Lytechinus pictus: one gene and its partner. The protein of the gene in region 1 interacts with the protein of each later gene in a pairwise test. Links are inferred from orthologs where the notes say so. Each region holds a gene or a part of one and is shown on either strand. Other genes may lie near its edges.

Region 1 (9,846 bases):
GCTTCCGGTAGCGGTTTTTCCATACTCCACCATGTGCAATTTCTAATGCACACATTTCCAGTTGGGATATCACAATTCTGCGATATAGTAATTCGAATTGCACAGGAGATAAATCCCTGTTCACAGCACATACGATGTGTGAGTCTTTTATCCTCTCAGTCGCCGACTTTGCTTGTCAAAACGGAGCCTTAATAATCCAAAATCACTTTGCTTTATATAGTTGTGAATTATAGCTTTTTAATTTCTTTCTTGGAGAGGGGTAAATATCAGACAATAAATCATCAAACAAGGCTCCAAAAAAAAAAACAGGAGGACGCCGTGCATTTGAGTGTGGTGTTAGCTAGCCAGTTTGAGCTCATGTTCTCTGTCAGAGCTCTGGGTGAGAATTCTATCAGTAATGGCCTATAAAGTGATGGTGATTTTCCGTTTCAGATAGAGTTTAGATTTCATGTTAATTTTTTAAAACTGTCAAAAACTTTATTTCTTCATTGTGATGAATATTTAAGTTATTAATGAATACATTTTCACCGAATTTAGACTCTCCCAGAATGAAAGGCATTTTCTGTGGAGATCTGCGTTTTCAAATAACTTGTGAAAAACTTAAGGTACATGAACCAACAATACATGTACATAGCCTGTGGCTATGTGCTGGAATTTGAATAGACTGAGTTAGATATTGATTTCATTTCTTTAACATAATTCATATGCAATCCAAATGTACCTCAAACACACTTAAACATTTAAATCTGATTTCTTAAATGTTTGAATACCGGTAAGCCTAATACTTAGCATGCTATTCATGTACTAATTAAAAAATTGCAGGAGCTGCGCTTACTATAAACAAATTTGCAGTGTGGTTCACCGTTATATATATATTTTTTTAATTGCCCCCGGTTCCTGTAAAAAGCCTGTAAGCCGGGGGCAATTTTTTTTGAAAAATTGCCCCTGGTCTGCAGCTGCTTATTTCAAGGCTTGCACTAGACAGCTGGCAGCCGTCTGTTTCGAGGAGTTAAAAAAATACATACACAGACGGCTCGCTATCGTGCAGCCACCATTAGGGGATTTACAATGCAAAATCCCCCCGTCAGGGCTCTTCAATTTTCGTCTTTAATGAATCAAACATTTGAAAATTAACGCAACCGAAATGCAAATTAATATTCCCTCTTGGCATTAATTGCCAAAAAACGGGGAAAATCAAGTTAAAAGGAACAAAAACAGTGACTTACCTCGGCTGTCGCGCAACTTCACTGCCCTGTTTTATCCGAACTTAATACACATAAACATATGGCCATTGAGTCCCCTGTACAGATCGCGCTAGAACTTCGGTCTCTGTTTTGGTGAGTGAAGGAGTTCAGCTGAACGGAGTTCAGCTGAACCACCAACATAACAGAGACCGAAGCTTTTGGTCTAGGCTTGCACTTCCTGCTATTCAAAATTGGAGATAGATATATTGGAGGGCACCTGGGATAATATGGCACCTAGACAAGACCACTTACAATTGAAAAGTTATGGAGATCTCACCAAAAATTTAATAGAGTATCATTTCTAACCCTCCCTGAAATGAGATTTAAAATGATGAACACCAGTTAGTGGTTGTTGTGTGCCTTTTGTTATTAGAATTGCGCAGCTACATTCAGCAAAGTGCAAAGTTGGGGAACCACATATTGTACATGATAATAATAATAATAATAGATGGGAATTGTAATGCGCCTAATCCACTCTGCAGAGTGCTTAAGGTGCAGTAAAAAAATGGAAAGAGAGAGAAAACTTATATACATTGATATAAATTAAGGAACTGACAATTTAGAGTAGGATACTAGTATATTAATTAGAAGTGCCTTAAAGTTTAAATGTGTCCATGGAAGTGCATCCACGGATAACCAGGGGAAGATCATTCCAATTCAATTTATTTACATTCTTAAATAAAAAACATGAAAAAAATCCAGAGGACAAGGCCAGTGTGAGCAAATGCCTGAAATTTCCTTTGAGTGAATGTGTTTAGGTAGGGAGTTCGGGTGAAATGCCGCTTTCAGAATATGTATCTGTCTGTGCACCCATGTATAAAACAAGTATAAAGCCATTAAAGGAGGAAAAACCCTATAGAAACCTATACCATGAGAAACTTTGAAGTTTTATGAATAAAATGATGTATAATTCAAGGGCATAAATTGCCCCACATAGCAGCGCATTGCACTTTAAAAAGAAGGATTACACAGTCCCAGTCATTGCATTTTGTGTAAGTTATGAAAATCAACTTTTGCTGTAAAAAAATCTGCACATTCTCCCATTTAAACAGAAATATCTCTGTCAATATTTGACATCATGAGTTGATTTTAAGCACCATTCTTTTTATACCACAAGCTTTCAAATAGTACCAAATTTGTTGGGATTCCTTCAAAAGGCTTCAAGATTTCAAAAAGCCACTGTCTCCCCACTCAAACAAGCTTTTATCATTTTTTTTGACAGAACAAAGTCTGCATATTTTTCCCTGTAAATTGGAATATCTCCGTCAATATATCAGACAATGAGTAGATTGAAGCACCATTATTTTTCTTATTTCACAATTTTTCCAACGATATCAAATTTGTTGGGATTCCTTCAAGATTTTAAAAAATCACCGTACTCCCTACTAGTTTAGGTGATAATAGAGGACTTGTCTTAGGCCTATATTTTACTTTTAATCATACCAGTCAAGATCAACAGATAACGAACGTAGACCTCACTCATGTCACTCCCAAGTCCCAGCTCACAACACAAGCCATCCATTTCAGGCATCACACTCAAACAGCTCAACCTAAGTCTAAAAATGAGGGCCAGCCATGTCTCCAAGTTCAAAATAGAAACACTGCTCAAATAAGGTGTGAACACGAAAGACTTCCTTATGTCCCCTCCACTAATTTTTAAAAATACTTCTCCAAAACCCTCTTCTCTCATTCTCTTTTTCTTCTTTTTTTTCTTCTTACTTCCGGTTGGAACTTGGATTCGAACCTCTCGTTGCAGAACGATGAATCTCCAGTCTCTCGCCTTACTCACTGAGCTAGCCACAGAAATTGTTGAAAGCAAACGGTTTCAACCGATATTACGACTAGTCTACTCTCCAAGAGTATTGGGCATTTATTTTTCTGACTAAATATACCAATGATATCGGGAATTACACACACTCGAATTTTTGACGGAATAAAGCCATATTTTGGTATGTATCCAACTTTTCCTTCTTAAAGGCCAAGTCCACCCCAGAAAATATTTGATTTGATTCGATAGAGAAAAATCAAACAAACATAACGCTGCAAGTTTCATCGAAATCGGATGTAAAATATGAAAATTATGACATTTTTAAGTTACGCTTATTTTTCACAAAACAGTTCAATGCACAACTCAGCGATATGCAAATGAGAAAGTCGATGATGTCCATCACTCACTATTTCTTTTGTTTTTTATTGTTTGAATAATACAATATTTCAATTTTTACAGATTTGCCAATAAGGACCAACTTAACTTAACCATAAACTGTTAAAATAATGGTAATTCCACATGTTCAGTGAGAAATAAAACTTTGTTTCACTTGACGAGAAGAAAATTAGAATATTTCATATTTCATATAATAAAATAGAAAAGAAATAGTGGGTGACGTCATTAGTCTGCCAATGTGCATACCGACCAGGATGTGCATATAACTGTTTTGTGAAATTAAGCGAAACTTAGAAATGTCATAACTTTCTTATTTTACATCCGATTTTGATGAAATTTTCAGTGTTTTGCTTGTTGGATTTTTCTCCTTTTTTTCAAATCAACTTTTTGTTGGGGTGGACTTGTCCTTTAAATCTCTTAGTCAGATATATGTTGTTAGATAATTCTTGATAAACCTTCTCCATATTTTTTTTTTCAATTTTAGTGGAGGGGACATATGGACATGATGGAAGTCTTGCCAATTACACAAGCTATCAAGTATAAATAATCAAGGAATCGTGATTTCCCCCATAATTTGTGTGCTTAAGAAATTCCACATGCTGACATGGTAATGGTCGTTTTTGTGTAGAGCCTGGGCGCTGGCATACACACGACACTCAGTCGATAGTGAGCTCCATTTGAGAATTCTCTAACTTTGTTACATATCTACGACTACGAGTACGACTACGCAATATAACGCACAAAAATCCTGCTTTTGGGATAGATCAAGAAAAGGGTATAATATACGCATTTTCGAAACATAAAGTAAACTTACCATAAATCATGTGAATTGTGGACTTTTTAAATAATTTTTTTGGCCAGGCGTACCGTACCGGTCCTCCGTATTGTTTTGAAGTTGAATCATTCACGATACGCGGCCGTACCGTACCCTCGCGCTCTCTTGATTTAAGGCCCGGGCGCCGGCTGCACTCGCCTAGCTTCGGCCGGCGGGAGCGCCGCTCACATCGCCTTTTACTCGGCAGATAATGCAGATATATGCAGATCGGCGTCACTGGTCGTCGTCACACGGCAGTACACGTGCATTTGGACCTTGTATAGTATACAACAACGAACGTAGAGGGCAGCAACACACATGCGTGTTGCTCTAAGGAAGGTCAACTCCGCTCGAATTTTGTGACCACTTTAAAAAATAAGGTGGGGTTTTGGGAAATTTGTCGAGTTGATTTTTTTTCATTTGTTAATTTCAAATATTTTTTAATGAACAATTATTAGATCGGTCATTCTGGGTATAAATATTAAAAATATTACTTTTATTTTTAAAGAAAATATCTAGCTTAAATAATCATGATTTTGACATTTTTCCTCATTTTGGAATATTAAGCCTGTGACGAGGATACCTCATATCTCTTATTTTCTTCTGCTGAATTTCGCTGCACCACTAATAAATGCTTAGACAACCACCGTAATAATCGAGGTCATTTTTCTGGCCTGGGTGCGCCGAGTCTGGCCCGGTCGCGCAGCTAGCTAGTGACGTTGATGATGCGCTGGGGCTTCAGGCGACTCGTCATAGATCTAGCAACTTAGACAATGACGTCTAATTTGCCTGGCCTGATTTGAAGTGTAATGGCTTCAGGGCTGATGTTTATCAACGATGATTGTTCAAGGTTAGATTTCAAATTTTAAATGTCATTTGACTTTTAAGTCTATAAATCTGAAATAAAGGCGCTGTATCCCCGAAATCCGGGTCTAAATTTCAACTCTGAGTCCGAGACCATGGCATGGACGGCGAAAAAACAACCCATGCATCGGATGCATTGCATTGGCTGCGCGCTGCGCTGCAGCTGCACTGTGATGATGGGTTCAGCGAAGAGCTCAGAGAAAATAAGGTGGTTATATTCAATCCCGAAATGCTTTGCGAGTGGTCACAAAATCGTCTCGACGCAAATCACCTAATACAGCCGTCTGGTGAAATCGCTGATAACAACAATCACCGATTTGGTAATGATTTTAGTTTCCTGAAACTTATATTTGTAAAGTTTTAAATATCAAAGTATGTTTTTATATGTATGTATATTCCTCAACATATTTTTAAAGTTATCTTTGATATTGTTGTAGTCATATTCTTTCATATTCGTTTTTTTATCGCTACTAATTTGTTGTTGTATTGGATCGGCATTTGATTTCGTTGGCATGAACAATAAAATACGCGCGCAGCTCAGCTGCATGCGCGTATCGAGTTGACCTTCCTTATAGCAACACGCTTGTGTGTTGCTGCCCTCTACGTTCGTTGGTATACAAGTACATAAACACGAACAAAGGAAGCTACCAATGTCTCTCTATTCTATTACGCAATAATTGGGGCGGTTGGGGGAGGGGCATTATGCTAGGAAACCGATATGTTCAAATGCTAACTTTTCATAGATATCGTTTATAGGGTCGGTATTCATGATGCAAGAGAATGTCGCTAAATTAGAGAAAAAGGTTGTTAGAAAAGAAAAGAGGTCAAGAGACTGGCCGGTCACTTTGTAAAAAGATGTAGGCCTACTGGGTCTATTTGACAAAAACGGTCATCCTAGTTTTAGAGAATTTTTTTTTCCTCCCAATACTAGAAAAAATATATACATATATTTTTTATATAAACAAGAAGGCACAATGATCTATAGATTTATAAAGATGAAATACATGTAACTGGTTGTTTCTATGTCAGGGGGGTATTTTCCAGAACCTCGACAGCATTGATAAGGGTCTCAGTTTATATGAAATGTTATAAGGGTCATTCTACTCATAATGATATGAAAGGGTGATTTTTCATTATGTATAAAATGGTGGTTCCTAAAACGAAAGAGTGCCGCTTATAATGGAAGGTCGCTTTTCACTCACTAGCAACCCCTTAGCTTGTTACAGAGCTCAAAAGTTGAATTCACCCCCCCCCCCAAAAAAAAAAAAAAAAAAAAATCGTTATTTTGTTATCAGATTTTAATGAAGTTCAGTTCGGTGAATTTTACCTGTATGAAATTATATAGTTAGAAAGAATACGTTCCAAGTTGGAGCAGTGGCTATAGGTATTCAAGAAAAAGTCTTACATCTCAAAGTTTCCTTGTGCGCCCGCTTAATTGGTCTTTTAATATGTTCTTCATTCGCAAATATAACTACAGTAACCTCCGCTCTATATTTATGCAATTTTAAGCCCTTTTGAGAATATGCGCTATACGTAGTTATCAATTTATTTATTTTGTGATGAAAGAGGTGCGATTCAACATAGAACTCAAATGTACAAAACATAAAAAAATAAAAGAGAAAGTCAAAGCTAGGACGCCACATTTCTGACTTTCCCATCCAATATGTTTTAGACACGTAAAGGTGGACATCATTCCACAACCCTCATCATCCCTTGACGCGAGACCCCCCCCCCCTCAAAAGTGCACAATGTTATATTGTCTTTAAAAAAAAATCCCATTTACAGATATGGATGGGGCTCGGTAGACCCCCTTCTGAATCTGCCACGGGTGACGAGGCGAGGAGGGGGGCCTGCCCTCTCTTCCTCAAACAATTTCAATATTTTGTGAAATGATTTGCGACAACACGAATCATGCGCTGGGTCAAGTGAATAGAGATGGATTTATTTTTGTCAGTGTCGTATTTTACATAACTTAAGTGAGAATGTTTTCTCCACTCCCCCATAAACATAAACACACCGCGTTCTAAATTTGTCAGAAATGAAATTGACAATTTCTGGAGTGATTTTTATTTTGTTGCTTGTAATCTCACCTGGAGATAGTTTTTATTATTATCGTGCTTTTTTTTTGGGGGGGGGGGTTGTCAGCAATTTTATTACAATCCCCCTTACCCAGCCTCTGGAATTTGGGCCTATAGCTTGCTTCACATTTGATGAAAGAAAATGATCGATAATGCACCGAGGTTAACAGAATGCAAGTTTTTAGTCCTCTTGAAATTATTTGGTAATTAATAGTTGGCGTTCCTCCTCTTTTGGAATTGAAAAAAGAAATAAGCCCCCTTTTTTGGGGGGGGGGGGGTGAAACCCTTTTTTCTTGACAGATTGTGAGAGAAATTGTGACGGTGAGATAATCTTTCGCTATTTTTCTAGTGACAAATAATAACGAAATTATTAATTTCATGTGCCCATGTAATACACCTTACTATAGTTGTGAATTGCTTCCCTTCCCCCCCCCCCCCTTTTTTTGTCCAAAATTACCGGGGGAAGTCTTGTCTGTTCTCTTTAATATTAGTAATGTCGTATGATTCAGATGCCCTGTGTATACTGTTTATAATAATAATATGTAGACACCATGTAAAAAAGACTAGTCATCATATTTTATCTTTTTTTAACATCTATATATCCTTTTAATATCATAACATGAAAATGGCTAAAATACAATTGAATACATAAAATAATATCAGTCCAAAGACAGGAAAGAAAGTAACTGATAAAAATATTCACATGTCTTGATAAGATTTATCCTAATGAAAGTAAAATTTTCACCATAAACTAGCTATGAATTTGTAGGCATGCTATGATATCATGATAGTTGTTATGCCGAATGAAAAAGCCGGGTGAAAGCCTTCTGACATTCATAAATATTGTCTCGCATTTCGTATTAAAAAAGAAATAATTTTGCAACACAGCTGAAATTGTTATCAGTTGTATATCACTCTACATGACGAGTTTTTAGAGATCTAATATAAGTAAAGCTGTGAAAAAGAAAACATTTTGGATCATGAAGGTATACTCCCTAAGGAATGCACCGGAACCACTGAATATCTGAAATACTAGTAGAATGACAGATACCAAACAATAGATGGCGCACTGACTTGCAGCTCTGGTGCTTTCAATCAGCTGGGATGTTTCACAGGGAATTATTCTTGTACCCCGTCTTAAATGGTTGCATGGAGAAAGCGTCACATACATGATATGGGCAAAGTAATTACGAGCAAAAAATAATTACATTAATCTACGAGTTAATCTACGAGTATTTTCAAGAATTCCGTAATTCAGCTGGATGAATACAAAAATGTAATTTCTTCGAATTCTAAAATTACTGGCAAGTTATTCTTGAAGATATCGTGATTATCGGACGCAGTGTGCGAGTGATTGAGCTAATAAAATGAATATTGCACTTGACTTTGGAGCATCTAAATTTGAATTGTACGATGCTTCCGATGGTTGATGCCAAATAGTGGCGAGTAAAACGTACCGTATTTAATAGTTTATATGGAAATTGAGTTATACTCAGCAATATATGTTTATGGCACATAAAGACAATTCGGGGCAATGTGGTTTCAGAAACTATACATATTGGTCGTTGAACACATGACAAGTCCTCTTACTGACTTTTATTCATTTGTATTTGTATATAAAAATCTCAACAATATCAACAACTTTGTACAGTAAGATAGATAACACAAATTAACACAAGCATTACGAAGGAATAAAACCACACGCCCTAACACAGTTATAAATACAAAATGTAGAACTTACAGGATATAGGAAACTACATAGAAAACATCTAAGGCACATTATAAGAATAAATATTTGTAATTTTATTGCGACGGTAAAAATCAATAAACATATACAATTAATTAAAGAAGGCGTTGGAATATACAAAAAATAGCATCTATAACCACACCTATGTCCTCCATCAAATAGATAAATAAGTGACCATGAGATATGTCACGTAGGCCCTAGAAGCTCTGGTGTGATCCTCTACTTTCCTATGTGGTGTGGGATGTACTGATGGAAGGACGCTCACAGAAGCCCAGATGAACAACATCTCTGTCTTGCAGAATCAAGTGGTAAGAGCATGGAGCTACTTAGTAGCTCCATGGTAAGAGCGTTTGTCTTCATGAACTGCAGTCTAGATCTGCAAGGTGTTCTAGGAGTGCTCTGCTATGTGGTGTGGGATGGAGGTAGGGTAGTCACACGAGCCCGGATGAACAACGTCCCTGCATTGCAGAATCGACCATTGATAAGAGTGTCCGTCTTCATGAACTGCAGCCTACCACGACGTTGCATGGTGCTCTGGACCTCATGAGGGCGTGGCATCTTATGGCAAGTGATGTTGGTGTTGAGGTGATTCTCACAGTCCACCTGGTCAAAGAGCATCAGGGTACAAACGGCACTGAACGGGAAGTACAGGTTCATGTCGTTCTCTCCTTTGCATAACATGATAAAGATGGACGTGTAGGAATCTGAGCGTGTCACATGACCCCTCAATTCAAGGCAGAGGCGGAGCTTGTATCCAGCGGGGGAAGTGTAGAAAGGTGGACTCAGAAGTGGTGCACTAAAGTCACGTGAGCATATTTGGATTTTCCAGTTGAGTTGGCCCGTGTAATTGGTATTCTTCATAATTGACAGGTCGCCCTTTAAACTGCTTACCTCTCTTGAAAGCTCTCTTATTTTCCTGTTGATAAACCAAATGC
Region 2 (9,585 bases), on another chromosome or scaffold:
TTTACATCCGATTTTGATGACATTTTCAGTGTTATGTTTGTTGGATTTTTCTCTTTATATTCAAATCAACTTTTGTTGGGGTGGACTTGTCCTTTAACAAGAATAGGAAAAGAGCTGTTTCTATAATGACATTGTACAAAGAATTTAGTTACCTCCATTTGTACGATTTCATTGTTTTCGACTTCAAATCGCAGTTCGTTGTCTTGAGAAAGTATGTACTCCTTGCCACCCTGTACACGGGAGAAATATACAAAGAGAATAGAATTAAACAAGTTTTACAAATATGCATATCATATTACATGCCATACAGATGTACATTACAGGATATCTCTAAAAAATGAACATAAATGGGTACCCCCCCTGCCGGCCCATTCTGTATTATAAAAAAAAATAATATAATAAAAGTTATTTCTAAACCAGACAGGGATAAGTGATAGATGTTTGGAAAATACATGAAGTGAGACCACATCTCCATAAAAAATTGTTTGTGCTTGATATGCATGAACATCTAGGCCCGTATTCTGACGTTGGGTTTAACTTAAACTCAGGTTTAAAGTTGTGGTTTAAGTATGGAGAGCCAATTGTTACATAAATCACTAACAGTACAGATATCATAATTCAGCTTTATTAGTTGGCTCTAAAATCATTCATAATTGTCTAGGAAGTATAAAAAGATTATTGTATTCACCATCAATGAATCAGGAAAGAGCACAGTAAACATAAGAAACATAAAACTTAATTTAAAAAATTGATACTTTTGGCTTCCCATACTAAAACCACAACTTTAAACCTGAGTTTAAGTTAAACCAGACTTCAGAATACGGGCCGTAGGGTTTCATATAAGATGATCTATTCCAGCCTTTAATATCCTATCTCATTACTTATGATATCAATGCTAAATTAATAGTCATTAGGCTTTACTATGTACCGGTATAGAGATTTTCTTTTTTTAAACACAATCGAAGTGCAACAGCATTTTCTCAGCTACAGCGTGAGAAACGACAGAGGGTTTCACAAAATTTACCTTAACCATGCATAGATATCATTCTCCATCTCAACACTTGGAGACAAATATGCATGACCTACAAAAAGTATTCATCAGTTATATATGCCATCGCTGACAAGAGTTGATTTTACCAAATATATCCAATTGAAGACTATAAAAAACATGGACACGAATATGACATAATATTTTCACTTGCATGATGTAAGAAGAGGGGTTCACAAAATTGAACTCTTATCAGTAATCCAGCATTATCTAATCTCACTATTTTGAGCCCAAACAGATTGTATCATGTACGCTTCAGAAAAATAATTTCAAGGTTTTCTTAATCATGTCATTGTTGGCATGATTATAAAAACATAAGCACTATGCGACTTGCAAACATAAGATATGACATAACATTTTCCCCATCATGATGTAAAAAGAGAAATTATTCACAAATTGAACTTTTACCAGTAATCCAGCCTTATCCCCAGCAATTAGGCGTTACGGCATCATCGTCAAGATTCATGCGGAGAGCAATGTGACTCGGAGCATTTTGTGAGTCTGTATGATGACTTGCTATTAAGGAAAATAAATGACAGCAAGGCATGTTGCTAATCACCTCTCTGCATGCTTACCTGATCTTAATGTGATTGAAATAATAAGAATTATTTACTCTTACTAATTCCGTCATCAGTGGGAACCTAGCTTTTACAAGCTTTGTTTTTTAAAGGTCAAGTCCACCCCAGAAAAATGTTGATTTGAATAAATAGAGAAAAATCAAACTAGCACAACATTGAAAATTTCATCAAAATCGGATGTAAAATAAGAAAGTTATGACATTTTAAAGTTCCAAATATTTTTCACAAAACAGTGATATACACAACTGAGTGACATGCAGATGAGATAGTCGATGATGTCCCTCACTCACTATTTCTTTTTTTTTAATTGTTTTAATTATACAATATTTCATTTTTTACAAATTTGACAATAAGGATCAACTTGACTGAACCATATATTATCAAACAATGTTAATTCCACATGTTCAGGGAGGAATTAATCGTTGTTTCACTTGGCAATGAGGAAAAAATTAGAATATTTCATATAATAAAATACAGGAGAAATAGTGAGTGGATGACGTCATCAGTCTCCTCATTTGCATACAGACCAGGATGTGCATATAACTGTTTTGTGAAATTAGGCGAAACTTTAAAATGTCATAACTTTCTTATTTTACACCCGATTTTGATGAAATTTTCAGTGTTGTTTGTTGGATTTTTCTCTTTTTATTCAAATCAACTTTTTGTTGGAGTGGACTTGTCCTTTAAAGAGGATCCTCATTCATGTACATGTACATTGTTTATTTGCACATTTTTTTTGTGAAAGAGCAAAAGGAATTTTCAATTTTTTTTCATTATATTGAAATGATCAAGATGGACATGAACAACTTTGTGGAATTCACGCAAAACATTACAATAAAAAAGTAGAAATCAAATTCCATAGATGAAGAAATTAATTTTAAGGATGAATCCAATATTTAAATTTTAGCTTTTTTTTCAGCTCTTAAATAGAGAAAAACATATGAGAAAAGAGAGTCCAATATGAATTTTTATTCTCAAAAGAAAATGTAAATGAAAAAGGAAATACTCACAAAGAAGAATTCAGTTAGCTTAACTTTTAAAAGCAAAGAAAAGAAATATAGAAATGTGTGTGTGTGTCTTTGTTCAGGGGCAATTTATTTAAAGCCAAAAGCTTCAGGTTGACCAGTCTCTATATTTTTCGATTGTTCCACTGTACTTGTAAAAAAAAAAAGAAATAAGTGAAAAAAAGTTCATCTAAACAGATAGATTTTTGAGTATGCAAGCCCTTGTGGTGTGCAATCGGGGAGGGGGGGGGGAGACTGCATTGCCATGCACAAGTGCACCAGAGGGGGGGGGGAGGGGGTACATGTACTGGAATTATAACATGATACCTAGATGTAACAAAGTCGAAAATAGGGGGCTCTGGAACTAAACCTTGGTCTTAAATTAAAATGGGGGTCTCCAGAACGGCTCAACTACATACATACAGTACAAGTTTTACAAAGTACAAACCCACAAGTTTTATCCGTGGTCAAATTCATACCCTATTCAAGTATTTTTGTGTGCTTCTTCGACAATTTTGCCCCCACCCCCCGAACAAGTATAACCCCCAAAACATTTATTTTTACTTGACAAAAATTCATTTTCTGACATCCTTACATGTACTATGTAGATCCTCAAAGTGTCACACAAGAATTAAGCGTAATGATCGAAAAAAAGAACATGGTTGAGCGTGTTTACAGCAACATAGTTGAGTGCACCCCTTCTCCCCCCCCCCCCCATCAGGTGCACAATTGACAGGAAAGATATAAAATTATATTTCCATATTCATAATTCTAATCTAAGAAAATAAAAAATAACTTAAAATATATACCTGACGATGTTGAAGTCATGATGTACCGTATATGTATACTGTACAACTGCAACAAACAGATTAAGAAATACACTGTACATACATTTATACCAAAAAAATATGATATCAAATCATAACTACACTGTAATTAATTGTAAAAACATGTAGGCCTATATTTTATCACAAATTTGTAAAATTTTAATTTGACAATTAAATTCTTACCTCTTCTCCTAGACTGGCCTGAGCTTTTAACTCTTCCCAATTTGAGCAATCTTTCGCATTAACATTAATTTCAACGGGTATTTCTTCAGGGGGTTCCATATGGAATTATAACAGAGTATTACACCCAATGACAAGCAATCATGCAGCTACTACATTCAGGAAAATGAATTGAGCTGAATGCAGTATAGTATGCAATATATTTTGTACAGCTGATCATGGACCTACTGGCTCATGGTTCGTAGTAAATTTATGCAGGGTACCCCTGCAGCTGTTCACTAGAATACACACATTACAGCTACATGTAAATTGCACAGGGAACACACACTATACACAAACACATGCTCTGTGCATAGAGCTATAGCTCCATGCTATGTGCATTGTATTGTTATGTGCAGGGGGCAGCATGCGATATGCAATGTACATTGTACACACAAAAAGCACATGTCAATCCACAAGGCAAAGAATAGTCTCCCCATGCACACTTTTTAAATAACAACCTTGGCTGACAGAATTTGTCATGTGTATGCTTGCGGGGATTAACTCATTAATTAATACTTGTACAAATGTGAATGCAAATAAATATACATGTAAGAGTGGACTTCATGACATAAAGCAGATTATTAAATTTAACTGAAAGAACTAGGAACATAACTTATTGACAAATTGACTGAAATCAAAGTCTACAATAAAAACTCATGCATATTCAATTTGCTGGAATGAATATTCATCAGGGCATGAAGGGGTATGGACAAACTTACAAATTTTACCTGTTTTTCAAAAAAAAATACACCCCGAATCAATATATAGTCAAATCATTCACAGATTACTTGAAGTAAACTACATTCTTTTCAATCAAGCTCCTAAAAGTAAAAAATAATCATGAAGGCAGACAAATATTTGACTGGATAAATAATTACTAACTGTACCAGGAAGGTACTCATGAATTGTACATACCAGAATCCAACTTTAAATACAGTATCATCAGTTAGGATTAATCCTTTCCTGTTACCTCTAAGGAGGTAGCAAGATGAATATGATGAGCTGGTTTGGATGATCTACATGATTACTCCATGGGAGTGGGGAACATGACAACCCCCCATAACCCCATCTCTGATTCAACTGATGAATCACCTTCAATATCTTTAAAATAATCAAAAGTAGAAACATTTGAGACAATCAAATGTAAGGATACACAACCTAATAATCACACATTAGTCAGTATAACATTTGGCTCATCACAATTATTTCCCAATTGCTTTTTTCCCCCATAATTATTTTCTTCAGATTCAGTTTTTATTAGTGGGTATGCATTCCTATTTTTTTTTTTTTTGGGGGGGGGAGGGCATATCAATATTACATGATAAAATGTTTCCAAAATAAACCGTTATCATGGAATTAAAAAAAAAATACTTAAAATGGAAGTTCACCTAACAAAAACTTGTTATAATAGTATACTACTAGCAGAAGAAAATATAAAAAAATATTGGCAAAGGTTTGAGGAAAAGCCATCAAAGATTAAGAATGTTTTTACATGTACATGTACATGTATTAATCTATCAAGACCTATCTATAGTATTCTCACTGTTGTATTTGATATAGTTTAATAATGTAGTCAATAGTATTATACCTTGTACTGATGTCATGTAATGTATATTCAATGTTAACATAATAATGTAGAATGTGAAAATAATTGTATATCTATATAAATTCTTCTAAATAATGTAAAGCGCATGGAGATCTTGATATTAAGCGATCTATAAATGCAATATTATTATCAAAATTATTATTATTAGAATTTCAAGTTTTTATTTTTTTTATTAAACTATGTCTGCATCATACATTGAACATAAAATAACATAAGAAACTTCTTACAACAAACTTCAATTAAATGTGAATTACCAAAAAAAAATCAATCTGTCCATGTTGGGAGCTTAAAGAAAAATGTTTGGCGGATGTGAGTTCCACAGCTGAGTGATGCTTCCAAAAAGTTCCATTATTAAAGGAAAACTTCACCATTTTATAAATTTTCATGATTTGGGGGTAATTTTTCTGCTCTGAATAATTACCTTCATTAATTTACAATTTATTTTGCATTGTATATAATATAGCCCGATTTCTGATTTGTTTAAAGCTGATGTGACCTTAGTAAATCCTCCACTTTAGATACATTGTTCTCGTCTATCTCTCATGCAGCTTTTGTACAAATGTTGATAACATCTATTTGGATGTGGAATATTATGATATAGCAAATTAAAAAAAATATTTAAATTTTCAATGAATTCAAACTGTATATTAAACTTCAATTGTATTAATCATTACATGTGTTATGATACTGCAACAAATAACAATAAAAATTTAGTTTTAAATTTGATTCCCTTTTTTTATTTTTAATACAGGAAATATAACAATCATAAACTAACAAAACATAAATAAATATTGATCTTACGTCTATTGAAGTGTCACATGTGCAATCCAAGGTTATAATAATAATAATAATAAAGGTATATTTACCCAGGGTAGCCACTTCAGTTCCGAAAACTGTTCTCCCAGCGGGCCCTGCTATTATTACCCGGCTAAGCTAGGCTACCTATTCGGTGCACACAGCTTTTTGAGGAATTACTTCCTGCCGGTACCCATTTACCTCACCTGGGTCGAGTGCAGCACACTGTGGAAGAATTCCTTGCTGAAGGTTATGATAGTATATCCAAATAAATCCAAGTTGGCTGGCGAAGATTCCTTAAATTAAAGTTCACAATGATGGCGATGATGAAATTTATGTTAAGCACGATGAATAACAAGAGTCACTGAACGAGTTGAAATGTCTGTGAAGACGATGTTGATGATGATTAAATTTCAGCAATCCATGGGTTGAAAAGCGTTCATTAAAACAGGTTGATGATCTCGATGAGAACTGAGAATTCCTCTCTCAAAGTAACTGCAAACAGTTCATTGATGGCGTGGAAAATTCCACAGAAGATAAATATTCCAGGTGGAAATAAACTCTGCTCTGACATAAAGTCTGGTGTGAAACTCTGAGTTCTGATGTGATGTGATGTCCTTGACGAAACTGCCAGCTTATATTATAAATTATTTCCTGTTCTGGAAGCTTCTAGTATTGTCTACAAAAAGAACATTCTGCCAATTTCTAGAGCAGTCTAATTTTAGAAGCCTCTTGAATGACCTCAGTGAAATTAACAAGATGTAAACAGCATTGTTCTTTTCACTACCACCAATCCTATTGTGTTGCAGTCTCTATTCAGAAATAACAAAATTCCTCACGTGTAACAAAGCTTTACTGAGACATTCTGGAATGTTCTTAATCATTCTATGCTATGAATATCCATAAAGAAAAAATAACTAAATAAATGAATGTAATTGCTCTTACAATTCTACTTATATATAACACATGTAGATTTATCAAAAGTAAATGAGACACAGGTATTTTATCAACATGTACCACATAGATACTCTACAAGCACAAACGATGATCAAATTACAAGGATTTAATACAAAAAAAGAGAGAAAAGAAAAGAAGCCAAATCTTAACCCTTTGCGCGCAGATGTTGCAATCTTGCACGTTCATTCAATTGAATTCAACAATCGTATTAATTAATTTTCTCCTTTACCTAAAAATTAGAGAAGCTAGTATTAAGGCAATAGTTTTTGGACATCTTGGTCATGTGACCTGAAACTTGGGATGTTCAAAGATACTTGATTACTCTTATGTGATGTCCAAGTTTCATGAATCAGATCAATAAACTTTCAAAGTTATGATGGTAATTCAACAGATACTCCCATTATGGCAAAAATTCATTGACCTTTGACCTTGGTCATGTGACCTGAAATGCGCACAGGATGTTCAGTGATACTTGATTAACCTTATGGCCAAGTTTCATGAACTAGGTACATATACTTTCTATTAGAGAGAAGTGCTGCGTGTGAAAAAACTGAATTGTGATTTATTTACAGACCAGGGGCCAGCTTCATTATGCATTCATAATCTTGAGTAAAATCATAGTAAAATTTGTCATTATGGCATCTATCGTGTCTACAAAGGATCTGCAGCCAATCATAATAAAGGTTCCAATGTAGTAATTCTTTGAAGTGCCCATTTTCATTAGGACTTGTTATTTCTCAAATAGGTTTACTTTAAAGCCAATCAGATTGGATGATTTCAGGAGCTTTTTAGTTTTAATCGTTATTGCAAATCTGTATATTATTTAACTGAAAGTAAATCAATTAGAGAAATTGTGCATTTGCTATTATAACAAGTCTAGTACGAAACAAGACCCTGTACTATCAGATCTGATTATCTACATGTAGCCTGGAACTGAGGCTTTTCTGTCACTAATCGATAGACATCTATAGGCCCAAACCGAGGCTGAGCCCTCCTGTAGACCAAGCAGTGGTGAATTGTAAATTAGTTGTTTTGAAAATAAAGTGTGGATGCAATGATGCTCATGATTCAGTCATTGGCATTTAGCAATTCATTGCAAACTGTTATTCAGCGCAATGCCCTGCCCTTTATGAACTAAAGGAAACCAAAATACAAGGAGAATCCATCTTGTCAGAAAGAATGATATGAGAGGACTTAGCAAACTAAAACTTGTTTCTTCAAAATCGGTTATAAAATAAGCGAGTTATGGAAGTTTGAAAAGTCTTGTTGTACTTTCTATGGGGAACTTCAAATTGGCAAACAGGCTTCATAATGTCTGATTTTGTGGACAACTCTCCATCAGTTTTGTACACAAATTTTGAGATTTTCCTCGTTATTTGACATATTTCACATAGTCTCCTCCTGACCTTGACATACGTGGTGTTAATTATATTTGCTCATGACATATGTTATGCTCATCACATCAGGAGGTAAGAGGCAATTTGAAAGATAATGGGGAAAATCTGAAAATTTGTGTACAAAACAAATGGAGAGTTGTCCATTATAATAATAATTATTTATAATCAAGTTTCAAATGTTATTATTTGTTAAATAATAATTTTTATCTACAAATTGTTCTTCAAAACAGCATTTTGTAACATCGCTTATCGACGCTACGTCATAACCAAGCGGTTCAAGGGTCAAGCCTATTGTATTTCTGGTGTTTACGAATGGATCGAGGGATCTACACGAGATCGGTCTGGTAAGAAACCTCTCATTTTTCATATAAATACTAACAGTTTTTTTGTACAGGTCTTCATACACATTAAGCATATGAAGTTGTATAGAAAAATAAAATCCAACAAATTTATGTGATTTCTAAAATTTAATTATGGATTTCCTAGGGAAATCCATCCGTGTTTACATGTCCTGCTTCTAATGGGGAGGGCTTCAAGGCTTCATGGTGTAAAAGTATGTATGTAAAAATATTTTAAAATATCATTAAGGGGTCCTCAAAGCTAATATCGATGTAGATCTACTGATGCGGTAACTGATACATGTATGTTAATTAAAACTGTTATTTTGACGGAAAGGCCATCTAAGTCATCAATATAATATAAAAAATGAATAAAAAGTCACCGATTTCTCTACGTGAACCTCGTCCAGCTGCCTCCATTACGTCTATGGTGTTTGACAGTGACAAATCGAAAAAGAAAAAAGATCTCACGAAACCAGAGGCTTATCAACCCGTTTGGACCACTGACCTCAGGTTTCGACGAAACATTGCTCGTAATGCATTCTGGTAAGGAAGTCATGATAGCTTCAATCAAGACAAATTCGCAATTTTGTTTCGTATCGATAAAAACTCAAAATTATTTTTCCCCAGAAAAGGGAAAAAAAATAATGGGGTATCAACGGTGAACATAACTCCTGAACATTTATTATATGTAGTATTTGAACAAAAATGCTTAAGAAGAAAGACAGAAATTCGGAATAACGAAATTTACTGTGGGTCTAATCAGGGGAAAATCCAGGATTTTCCAAGGGGGGTTTTCTTTTACAGAAAAAA

The links.
Region 2: the proteins of uncharacterized protein LOC129269308 (region 1) and polyribonucleotide 5'-hydroxyl-kinase Clp1-like interact in binary tests that used the Homo sapiens proteins (3 or more experiments, as listed by UniProt). The link is inferred for Lytechinus pictus from reciprocal best matches to the Homo sapiens genes TSEN54 and CLP1.

Annotation. Positions count from the first base shown.
Region 1 is NC_087254.1:22,850,370-22,860,215, forward strand, and holds the start of uncharacterized protein LOC129269308, read right to left. Parts: upstream 4,505-9,846; 5' UTR 4,223-4,504; intron 2,627-4,222; exon of another isoform or gene 1,462-2,626; intron 1-1,461. Other genes in the region: TNF receptor-associated factor 6-like, read right to left, coding at 9,314-9,827.
Region 2 is NC_087257.1:17,662,782-17,672,366, reverse strand, and holds the start of polyribonucleotide 5'-hydroxyl-kinase Clp1-like, read right to left. Parts: upstream 4,000-9,585; 5' UTR 3,740-3,999; coding exon 3,641-3,739; intron 1,567-3,640; exon of another isoform or gene 1,457-1,566; intron 231-1,456; coding exon 153-230; intron 1-152. UniProt on the Homo sapiens protein: Polynucleotide kinase that can phosphorylate the 5'-hydroxyl groups of double-stranded RNA (dsRNA), single-stranded RNA (ssRNA), double-stranded DNA (dsDNA) and double-stranded DNA:RNA hybrids. dsRNA is phosphorylated more efficiently than dsDNA, and the RNA component of a DNA:RNA hybrid is phosphorylated more efficiently than the DNA component.